Diceros bicornis minor: one gene and its partners. The protein of the gene in region 2 purifies or fractionates together with the protein of the main gene of each other region. This does not show direct contact. Links are inferred from orthologs where the notes say so. Each region holds a gene or a part of one and is shown on either strand. Other genes may lie near its edges.

Region 1 (3,741 bases), on a different chromosome or scaffold from region 2:
GGGTGTCCCGGAATGGAGCTAAAGCGATGGGATTTCCAGATGAGTCTTTCCAAGGCCAACTTTTAAAGGTCGGCGGAAAGTTGATGGAGGGGCGGGGGCCCCGAGGGGGAGAGCTGGGTGGGCTCCGACGCCTCCTCCCCTTTAAGCGGGTGGCCCCGGCGCTTCCTCCGTTACCTGGAGCGGGGAGGGGCTTGGGAAAGTTTGTGTTTGTTGCTGGCAAAGCGCCGGATGGGAGGCGCGGGCGGGCGGGCGGGCGCTGCGGTTCTTCCCTTTTGCTTTCGGGAAGCGGTCGGGGCCGCACACTCGGCTCGGCGGGGCGGCTCTGGCGCCCGGCTCCCGGTGCCCGGCCGGCTGGAGGAGGGAGGGCGGGAGGCGGCGGGCGCAGGGCAAGGGGCGCGCGTCCGCCCCAGCGCTGGGATTTCTCGGCTCGCGAGGAGAGCGGAGCAGGCGCGCGGCCCAGGCGGAGGAGCGCTGACTCTGGAGCAGCCGGAGCTGGAGGAGGAGGAGGAGGAGAGGCGGCGGGGAAGGAGGAGGAGGGGGAGAGTCGCTCCCGCCCGGCGAGCATGGGGCGCCTGGCGCCGAGGCCGCTGCTGCTGGCTCTCCTGTCGCTGGGTGAGTGCGCGCGGGGACCGGCGGGCCCGAGGGGCTCGGCGGGGCGCGGCTGCAGCGTGCGGCCTGGGGCGCCGAGGGTGCCGGGGCCGCTCCCGGGAGCCCGGCCGGGTAGGCGGGCGGCGCGGCCCGGCGGGGGACGGCTGCGGGGCCGCCGGGAGCCGGGCGCGAACCCGGCCCGGCCGCGCGCGGGGTGCGAGTCGCCGCTCTGCCAGGCCGAGCCTCGCCCCCAGCATGTGCGGGGGGGAGTGGCCCGGGGCCGGCTTCCCCCATCCCTCCCTACCTGTTGGCGGCCGGGAGCCCGGCTCACCTTGAACTCCCGGCCCGGATGGTGCTGCGGTCTCCGGCCCGCGTCCCCAGCTTGGGAGCTGAAATATGCTCCTTTGATATGCCCCGCCATAGCCGAGACCGGCGGGATCGCTCTGCACACACACAAACCCACGCCGAGCTGCCTTTCCAGGGAAGCGAGGGAATCCAACCAACTTCCTTCTACGAAGGTCACGGGATGGCCCAGAGCGCTACAATAGAAATCGGTGTGCGAGTCCTTCCGTCCTGTTAGTTGTGGCGGGATCCTCTGCCTCAGTTTTTTCTTTTAGCTCTTCTTGAAGCTGCCTGGCTGCATATTTACACACAAAGACCTAGGAGCCTTGGCCTCTCCAACTTTTCCGACCTGTTACTTTTCCTCCCTTATTGTTCCCTATCTTCCACTGTTCCTAAACCTAAACCTCTTGATTATTTGGCCTAGCGCCCTCCTCCAACCCCAGGAATCTTTGGTGGGTTTTTTTCCTCTCCATTTTCCATTCATCCATACACACAGACACCATCTTCACGCAGTGTAATATGGTATATTAACATAATCATGTGGTTATCAGCCACAGAAATACATCTGCTTATTAAGTGCCCACCATGGTACACGACGGCTGACTCTTAAATGCTCTGATATTCTTGGATCCCTTTGGTCAGTGTCAACCAGAACAGAATGAATTCTGCGATCTGACCAGGGATTCTCTTCCACACCTCTAGAGAAGGCATATCTGAATCTTTTACGAAGCGCATGGTGTGTGGTGTCAATCCCAGCCAGGCCCCAGCTGCACACAGGGTAAATGACTACTCTGCGCTTATGGTCAGAGGGTCCCAGTGGAGGCCTTCTACAGCCACTCCCATCCTGCTGGCACCAGGGCCCACACTGTCCCAACCCCCACGATTCCTGGTGCTCCTGGGTCAGCCTTTCTAGCTGCGACTGGGTTTTCTTCCTTCACCTCTGTGGGGTCTTCTGGAACTCACTCCTTAAGAGAGCTCGTCCAGCCGCATTGCTTTAGCTGCAACCATGTCCAGAAAGTTTTCAGATCTCTCCATTTTGTAGCATCTTTTCTGTGGTCTCGGATCCTAGTGCTTTTATTCTTTTTCTTTTACTCTGGGACTCTTGTAAATTCTCCATTTGTTGCACATTGCTGGTGATAGTCCACACCTGTTAATTGGCTAATGTGTCTGAGTCAAGCAGGGCCATGGCCACTGGCTGCACAGACTGTGCCCTGCACAAACTCTAGGGGCTGCTATTCACTTCGTAGTCTGTGTGAATGACTCCTCCTAGACTTGTGCAGTTCACAACCTGAGTACAAGTTAAGAGGGTGGAGTCAGGTAGAAGTTGGAAAAGAATGTCTTTGAGTAACAATGATAAGGGAGAAAAAGGGAGAGGGGGCAAAGAGAGACTGGGGAAAGCAAAACACAAGTGGGGAAAGCCCAGCTTGGGGAAGTCTTGGATGTATATCAGTGTATCCTGCCCTGGCTGGACATCTCATGTTGACTATGCATAGGGAATGTCTGTGGTGTCACCAGCCAATGCCTTTTCTCCTATCAGTTCCCTGAACTTAATATCGCGCCTGCTAACTCTGCCCCCCAGAATCTCACTCGGTGTGGCTTCAGTCTGACCTCTGGGAAGCCCTCCCTGCTGTACCACTCTTGCATGGTACTGATTCCTGAAACTTAATATGTTGATCAGCAAGATCGTCTTTCCTCTTGTATTGCAACCTGGGCGTAATCTTACTGTCACTCTCTTTGACCTCCACGTTCACACTGTCCCTCAACTCTGTGGCTTTTCCCAGAGTACAGACTTGAGTGTCTTCCCATCCTTCCTGGATCTAAAGCTACTATCCTAGCCCAGGTTCTGATAGTTCCCCATATAGATCACTTCTGACATCTTCCTGGTTGGCTTTTTCCTCTAGCCCCCCTTCTAAGTTCATCATTTTCCTAAAGGATCATTTTTGGGGATCCCGTCTTTGCTCATTGGTTCTCTATGATTTTCTTCCAAGGATATGCTGCCCCTGTGTTTTCTCTCCTCTAGTCTTCTCTCTGATTCAGACACTTCATTCTAAGTATCCTGTTTGCTTCCTTTACATAGAATAGATGTGAACCTTCTGGCTCTTCCATTTCCCGTGGCTTGGAAATGCCCTTCCTGCCTCTCTCTTCTTGCCTGTATTATTTCCTTTTTCCTCTAAGACTCATTTCCTCCATAAAGCTTTCCTAAGTCTACCTATCGTGATCACATCAGAACCCACTCAGCTTCATAGAGCACATTTTCACTTCCATTGCCTATGTCTGAGCTGTTCCCTCCATGCATTCAATACAGTATTTCGTGAACGCCCACTGTGTCTATAAAAGTGTCCCAGATAAATGACCGAGACACAGTGTCTCATTGAGTGGTCCATGGGGGTGGGTGGACAGATAATCAAACAGCTAGCTACAAGACAGAATGAAATGCCTGACATAGAAACCAGGTGCTGGTAGGAAGCAAGGAAAAGGATGATTAATTTTGACTTGGCATTGGGGTTGATTTGGCTGAAGAGGTGACATTTGAGCTGAGCCTTGAGTATAATGAGAATTTTGAAAGAAAGGATGGACGCGCATTCCAGGCTCTGGGGAAAGACGCTGAGTGTGGATGAGTGAAAGTACTTGGCTCACTTAGAAATGGCATGTAAGTTCCATGTAACTGGAGGGGGGAGGAGGAGGATATAATGGGAGAGCAAACTGGAGAGGTGGATTTGGGATGGATCCTGAAGGCTATTTGTGCTGTGCTGAGAAGTCTGGACTATGAGGGGTGGGTTTGTTGGCCTTGTGGGGGCTGCCAGGCAGCCT
Region 2 (3,741 bases):
GTGACCGGGTTCCTCTTTGCAGAAGCATGCCAGACTGCCTCTGATGCCTCCTCCCACGCGGGAAGCCTTTTTACTCTCTAATACGGAACTTGAAAAAGTGCCCCTATCCAGATACCTATTATCAACCTCTCCTCCTGGCTCCTGCCCTCAGCACCCCCTTACTGCACTAGGGCCGGGGTGCACGGTGAGGAGTCAGGCTAGGCACCAGGAGCCCTCCTTCAGCCACTGGGCCCTGCAGGAGCCTCCCAGGCACCCAAAGCCCCTTCCCCGAGGCACTGCCTACACCAACAGGCTTGGCTCTCCTTGGCTGTCTTCCCGGCCAGCCACCTTGCCCAACATCCATTTCCTGAGCGTGGCCTCTACTCCCATTAGCTGATCCACCAACAATCCCAGGAGAGAGGAGTCTGAGGACTCCCACTTCAGAGGGGAGGGAGCTGAGGCCCAGGACCCAGAGCACCAGAGCAGTAGAGCAGTGGGGTGGGGACTCCACCCGGCCAAACTCGCCCCTGCACCATGCTCTCAGCCAAGAGATGCCAGGGGGCAGAGAGCAGCTCTGACACGGTGGTGCCCGGCAGCCCCGCCTGGCTCAGCCCAGCATCTCCCCACTGCAGGGGGTGGCCCAGCATGGGTGGGTGGGGCCATGGTGACTATAGATGGCTCCAGTTCTCAATGTTCAGCTGGGCAGGCCCCAGGAAGGGAGAGGAGAGGCCTTGGAAGCATTTCCTTAAGCCTCAATAGAAAGCGGGCCGGAATGCAAGGCCTCCATCCCAGCTGCCTGGGAAACTATCAGATTCAGCCAGGCTGAGCTCCAGGGGTCCCGTCCTGGAGACCTCCCAGGCTGGGCAGGTGGGAGGGACTTGCCACCCGCACTGACACCTAGCCCCGCACTGACATCTAGCCCCAGGCAAGAATCCACTCCTGGAGAAGTTCCCTTCCTCTGCCTCCCCTCCACCTCCCCACCGGGGTCCTCGCCCCAACATCCAGGCTTTGCTTGTAGGGGATGGGCTCAGGGGCCAGCCGAGAGGTGTCTGGACGTTGTTCCCCACTTGCCTGGGCCAAAGGAGGCAAACACCAAATCCACACCGACACCACCCCAGGTAGGATGTGACACCCCATTCCACCCCCAGCTAGAGTTTAGTCCAGTCTCTGTCCTCCCCACCCCAAATACCTCACTGCCCCGAGATCTGCCCTGAGATCACCGGCCGTCCAGATGGCAAGCACATGTCCCCAGTCCCACACACTGGCTCCAGGGGCCATTTAAAAAGTTCACCCTCCCTGCGTCAACTTGAAAAATACGCCACCCCCCAGGCATCACCCTGGTCCTCAGTGGGAAGGGGTGAGCAGCCTGGGGTGGCAAAGCAGCAGTGAGGGGGCCCGGCAGGGGGTCCTGGTCACTGCCCAGGGGAGCACTGAGAGGAGGCAGGGCACGGCCATCGAGCGAGCTCCTGACACCCATCCAGGGGCCTACCAAGCCAAAAAGAGATCTCCACCCCATTCCCCATTCCAACATCGACAGCAAACAGAAACAAAAGCAAAAGCGTCATCAGTCACTGGGCAGAGATTAAGAATAAGGTCAGGAAGACGCAACTCTCAGGCCAGCAGCCTGGGGACCCCGGGGAGACCCTGCCGCACCCAGAGATGACCACCCTGTGGCGCTCCTCTTTCCAAAGTGGATGCCCAAGCCCGGATCTGGGCACCCACCCGGACCCAGGCCCCCAGAGTTCAGAGGCGCTCAGGTCTTCACAGCCCCCTGCCCTGTGCCAGCTCAGAACGCAGGCTCGGACCCCACTCCCCTCAAAGCTCCGGGGGTCGAGGCTGGGATGGAATCTCAGTCTGGGTGAGGAGGGCAAGAGGACCGGACCACACAAACCGGGGCCACTATGGTGCAAGCACCCCAGCACACGGGCCATCAGGGCCCAGGGCGCTTTCTGTCTGAGCTCCGCCCCGGGCCCGGACCCCCAGGACGATCCCCAGGATGGCGACAGCAGACTGGGGGGTGAGCTGGGCTAGGCCAAGAGTGGGGTGGACGTTCCTCAAGACTCGGACGGAGTGTGCGCAACCCCCCCGCCCCCCTCCTCACCCGGCCGACCATCAAGGGGAGGTGGCCTCGATGAGCTCATGGGGGCGGGGCGCCGGGAGCCCCGCCCTCGAGCCCCCTCTCCATCCTCGCAAAACAGGGTGGTCCCAGGAACAGCGCCAGGTGGGCTGAGCGGCGGCGGGGTACGCGGCCCAGAGCCCGCACCCACCGCAACCCCGACTATCACCAATCGGTAACAGACCCGAGGCGCCCAAACGCCCCGGCCCGGCCGCGGGGCTCTGGGCCCGGACGCGCAGAGGCCCCGAAACCCGGCTCGCAGCCCCCCGCCCCACCGTAAAGCGGCGCGGCGGCCCCAGACGGCCCCTAACGTCGCAGCCTACCGGCCCAGGACTCCCCGCCCCGCGCCCGGCGCGCACAGGTGGCCCAGCAACTTGGCGGCCCGGCTGCGCCCCCTCTGCGGGGCCTAGCGGGGCGCGCGGCCTGCGGTGCTCGGGGCGCGCGCCCCGCCCCCCCTTGCCCGGCCGGGGCTCACCCAGAAGACGAAATTGAAGACGAAGAGCAGGTACTTGATGCACTTGGTGCAGCCCTCCACCCCCATGGCGGCGCGGGCCGGTCCTGGGCGAGGGGCGGCGGGGCCGGGGCCTGGCGAGCAGCGGCCGGGGGCCGAGAGGTCGGCTTGAAAGCGACAGCGGGGGCGTAAGAGGCGCGCAGACGAGAGGCACACGGCGCAGGAGGCCTGGCCGGGGCGCGCTCGCTTTCTGGGCGGGCGCGCGCTCCGCTCCACCACTTATCGGGCGCCGCACCCTCCCCCACGCCCGGCAGGCTCCGCCTCCCGGCCCCGCTCATCCCGCTCCGCCCCGCCCCCCGCCTGCCGGGCGCGCAGGGGCTGCAGTCTGGTCCCCAGCCCGGCCTCCGCCGAGGCGGCCCGCAACCCCTCCTCCGTCGTGCCCACGCTAAGAGGACCTCAGTGCCGCAAGCACCACGGGGCTCGGACGCTCTGTTCGGCGCGCGGCAGGCGTCCCAGAGCCGCTGGCGCGCCCCGAGCCTCTACTAGGGGCTGCGCCTGAGGAAAGGCCTGCCGCCAGGGGTGGCCAGGGAAGACCTTCTCCCTCTCTCCTTCTCTCCTCCCTCAGGCTCCTTGGATATCCAAGGAGGCTCCCTGGAGGAGATGATGCGCTGGTGATGGTTATGCCAAGATAGCCGCGAGCTTTGTTTACATTGCTCGCTGGGAACAGGACCTGGGTGAAGCCTGAGTGTCAGGGGGCCTGGCCTGAAAATCCTACAGCGAAATTCTAGGCAGCCAAGCCCTTGTCCCGCGGACAGGGGGAGTTGCTGCCCGCTGTTAGAGGAGTCAGTGTTTGGAAAGGTCGCTGAGAGGGTGTCCCCTAGACCAGTGTTAAGTGTCCAGGAGGCCTAAGACACCTATAGGAGAACCTCCAAATATTGTGTATTTCATGGACACCCTGATGGTGCCAGTAGCCCAGGGAGGCCCACCCACTGCCTCCTGCCCTCACTGCCTGGGCAATGAGGAAGTGGAGAGGTGCCATATCAAGTGAGGGGCGCTTTGTCCCCAGGTGACGTGAAGATGAAGAGCTGGAAACATTGTGTGTCTGCAGGAGCCGTAGCACAAACGACCACTGACCGCTTGAAACACGGCCAGTGCCGCGAGCAAGGAACTGAATTTTTCATCGTCGTTCGTTGTA
Region 3 (3,741 bases), on a different chromosome or scaffold from region 2:
ATGGAGCCAGTGGCCCGAGCAGGACAGGGCACAGACCCAGTCAGTTCTCACCATACAATGCCCTCCCCCCTCCAGCTGTGCCATGAGCTCACTGCTTCTCCCACCCCACAGGGCTGCCGAGACAGCTGAGGCTTATGGGGCAAGAACCCGTCTCTGCCCTGGCCCCCGGGGGCAGAAGATCCCCTCCCCACCAATGCCTGCCATCTTCCTGGCTGGCCCAGCTGATGCACTATGCCCCCTCAACTCCCTAACAAAAGCCTTCATTTGCATATGGCATGCATCTTTTACATATGGTTCCCTTTCTGTAGGGAGACACTGACCCCAGCTGCCCCATCCCATCTTTCTGTCCTCAGGCCAAAACTCTCTTCTTCACCCTGTCCCCACCCCCCAGACCCCAGCCTGCTCCAGCAGATACTCCTGGCAGCCTTGAAGGGCTCAGCTTCTTCTTTCTCTCCCTCCATCCTTCCATAGCCCGGCTAGATAAGACTACAGAACCCTGGACTGTAAGGAGGGCTGGGTCAGCCCCCTGCCTCCATTTTACAGATGAGCAAGGTAAGGCAGGAGAAGTATAATGTCTTGGCCAAGATCCTACTGTCCTTGGATGTCTTCCAGATGCCCCTGCAGAGGGACAAAGCCAGGGAGAAAGATGGGGAACTCCAAGGCCAGGCCTGTGGGGACTGACCTCACCAACTAAAATGGCACCCCAGGGACATACCCAGGGCCTTTCTGCAAGGGCTGGAGGAAAACACCAAGTCTGTGGTCAAATTCAGTCCTCCAGCTCCTCCAGAAGGGCTCCCCTTGACTTTCCCTCCTGAGCTGGGCTAATCTTAGCCCCTGCTTCCTGTGGCCAAGGCACGAGGAGAACTTGTGGTTGCTTGGTTAGAGCAGAGCACAGGCTGGGAGTCAGGAGGTCGGGTTCCAGCCCCAGCCCCATCCCCATCCCCAGCTATATGGCCTGGCCCTGGCCCTTCCTCCTAGGCCTCAGTTTCCACAATGGAGGAGAGCAAAGAGCTTCCACTCTGACAGTGAGTGTGTGACTCAGGAGGGCCCTGCCTGAGGGCATTTCATAATCAGAGCCAGCCGAGCTGACATCTTCCCTGGCCTCCAGGCAGACTCTGCTCAGATGGACCCCTCCCACCTTCCTGGCTCCACAACTGCTGATGCTTGGAGATCCCCATGGGAAAGTCACCCCACCATCTTAGGAAACCAGCTGCCAGGCCACTGTCTCTCCCCAGCCAGGTCCCCTCCTCGGTGTTAGAGAGGGAAGGGAGAGAGCAAAGAGGCCTGCTTTGGAGTCAGATGGATCTGGGTTCAAATCCCAGCCCCAACAATCACGAGACGTGTTCGCTGGGACAAGTTACTTCATTTTCCTCATCTGTGAAATGAACGTTTAAGTGCCTGCACGCAGTGGGCGCTCAGATCTCGGCAGGCTCTTCCATCTCTGCGCACCACACTACGCCACCTCCCCTGGGTTCCTCTCTGCTCCACGCTGCCCACTGGGGAAAACAGGCCAAGCGCTAGGCAACCAGGCCCCACAGCTCCTTCCTCTGTACACCCTCCTGCCTCCCTCCCAGGTCCCCGCAGAGAGGACTCATTCTAGTCCCACAGGGGCCAGAGACCTATGCAGCAGGGGGAGACTCTGCTTGGCGCTGCAGTGGAGCTCTGGTCCAGAAATAGGTAGCTGGGGCTACGTCAGCCTGCACCTTGACTACGGCAGCTCTGAATTCTGGCGACGAGGCCACCCCCCAGCCCCCCCTTGTGCTCTTATTTCAAGGGCCTCAGTCTCCTGAACATCTGTACAGGTATCGCTGCCTTCGTGCCATACTCCTCCCCAGACCGCCTCCTACAGGGAACCCTCCAGTTCAGGCCAAAACCAATTCCACTGTCACTGCCCCCATGCATCCAGTAGCGGTGGCCCAGAACACCCCCCCGTGAACACCCACCACGACAGGCACTGGGTGCTTGGAGATCCCAGCAGCTGTCTCCATGGAGCCTGGTTTCTCCTAAGGCAGGGAAGCTGGGACTAGGGGGGTGTGACAACCAGTGGGAGGCTACAGAGCCAAGTGCCATTTGGAAGAGGGAAAGTGGGGCAAAGGGAGATCTGCCCAGAGTGGAGATGGGGGTGAGAGAGGGAACTGCCCCCAAACTCAGATGATGAAGGGGGGGTAAGAACCGACCCCTGGGCCTCCAGCCAACCCCAGGCAATGATGAAGCCGGGCAGGCACTGCCCACGCAGGGCAGGCACCCAAGGCTGGGCCTGAGGCTGACTGAGGCAGAGATGATTCTCAGCATTTGGGCGCAGTGACCCCAAGACCTGAGTATGCCGGCCTAGAAGTGGGGCCTGGCTCCCGGAGGCCTGGCCGTCCCTGGGGGAGGCACCTCGGTGGGTCCTCACTGTGCCCCAGTCAGTGGCCTAGAGCTGGGGAGCCTTCACCAACCCCCAAGACCGGCTCGGCGGACGGCCACAAAAAGGCAGCTGGGCGTCGAGCCCAGGGAAGCTGGAGGCGCCCCTGATGGAGAAGGAGGGTGCGAGGGGCTCCGAAATGCTGGGGTGACGGCCGGACTGGTAGCCAGGTGCCAGATATCTGCCCGGCGGGGCTGAGGGCCAGGGCGGGGGCCGGGCTTACCCAGCATTAGCAGCAGCAGCAGCGGAGGACCGAGAGCGCCCATCCTGCGCGGCCCGCTCTGGGGAGGCTCCGGGGGATGGCGCGGGCTCTGGGTGGCCGGGAACTCGGGGGGCGCATGCCCAGGTGGGGGGCACGAAGCAGTGCAGTGAGGCGTGGGTGCGCAGAGCCGAGCTGAGCCGAGCGGGAGCTTCCAAGTCCCCTCCTTCCTCCCCTCCTCCTTTCTTCCTCCTCCCCCCGCTTTCCCTCCCGCCTCGGCGACTCCGAGGACCATTCCCGCCCCGCCCTGCCCGGGCCCCGCCCCCGCCCTAGCCCCGGGCTCCCGACCCTGCCCCGGTCCCCAACCCTGCCTTGACCCGTCCTGACCCTGGCCCAGCCCTGGTCCCCGGCTCCGTCCCTACCCAGGTCCTGGACCTCAGCCCGGGCTGCGCTCGCACCTGTTCCCGGCTCCGCCCTGACCCCGGCCCAAGCCCCGCCCTGACCCCGGCCCAAGCCCCGCCCACCTAGGTCCTGGCTCCACCCCTACAGGCCCCGCCCCCGCCCCGCCCGGCCCCGGCTCCGCCCCGACGCCGACCAGCTCAAACTGGTGGCTCCTGGGCGCTGCTAAATCTCCACCCAGCCCCGCGCAGAGTGCACCCTCGCCTCGCACCTGCCGGCCTTTCCCTGAGAGTTGGGTGCCGGGGCCCTGCGGTCGGTGAGGTGACTAAAGCCACCCACTTAGAATCCAGTTATTTGCTCTGGGCCGCTAGGCCTCGCAGCAAACTCCGCCGAAGTGGCGATGGGCGGGACCCAGGGCTTCCGGAGCGCGGAGGATCTGGATTGAAAGGCGTGTCAGGGCTCCGCAAGGTCACGGGAGACCGGTTTGCCACCCGCTCTGGGCAGAACCAGAGGAAGTGGGTTAGGAGAGTGGGCCGTCTGGGCGCCGTCACTTCTTGATTGGTGATCCTGGTCAAGTTGCTTAACTTCTTTCAACCTCAGTTTTCTTGTGGGCAAATTGAAGTGGGGTGACATCCACCCCAAAGGGTTTTTGTGACGATTAATTGAGATAATGTACATAAGGTGTTGGGCACAGGATAACACGAAATAGAAGATAGGGTGTGTGTTTTTTCCTTTGTTT

Evidence for each region.
Region 1: the proteins of CD81 (region 2) and PTGFRN purify together in Homo sapiens (co-immunoprecipitation; 7 studies listed by BioGRID and IntAct, with this or other methods). This does not show direct contact. The link is inferred for Diceros bicornis minor from reciprocal best matches to the Homo sapiens genes CD81 and PTGFRN.
Region 3: the proteins of CD81 (region 2) and IGSF8 purify together in Homo sapiens (co-immunoprecipitation; 3 studies listed by BioGRID and IntAct, with this or other methods). This does not show direct contact. The link is inferred for Diceros bicornis minor from reciprocal best matches to the Homo sapiens genes CD81 and IGSF8.

Annotation. Positions count from the first base shown.
Region 1 is NC_080743.1:49,262,989-49,266,729, forward strand, and holds the start of PTGFRN (prostaglandin F2 receptor negative regulator), read left to right. Parts: upstream 1-922; 5' UTR 923-937; coding exon 938-1,142; intron 1,143-3,741. UniProt on the Homo sapiens protein: Inhibits the binding of prostaglandin F2-alpha (PGF2-alpha) to its specific FP receptor, by decreasing the receptor number rather than the affinity constant. Functional coupling with the prostaglandin F2-alpha receptor seems to occur.
Region 2 is NC_080770.1:2,345,349-2,349,089, forward strand, and holds the start of CD81 (CD81 antigen), read right to left. Parts: upstream 2,770-3,741; 5' UTR 2,637-2,769; coding exon 2,571-2,636; intron 1-2,570. UniProt on the Homo sapiens protein: Structural component of specialized membrane microdomains known as tetraspanin-enriched microdomains (TERMs), which act as platforms for receptor clustering and signaling.
Region 3 is NC_080743.1:64,784,182-64,787,922, forward strand, and holds the start of IGSF8 (immunoglobulin superfamily member 8), read right to left. Parts: upstream 2,604-3,741; 5' UTR 2,293-2,603; coding exon 1,944-2,292; intron 1-1,943. UniProt on the Homo sapiens protein: Member of the immunoglobulin superfamily (IgSF) that links tetraspanin-enriched microdomains to the actin cytoskeleton and plays several important roles in innate and adaptive immunity.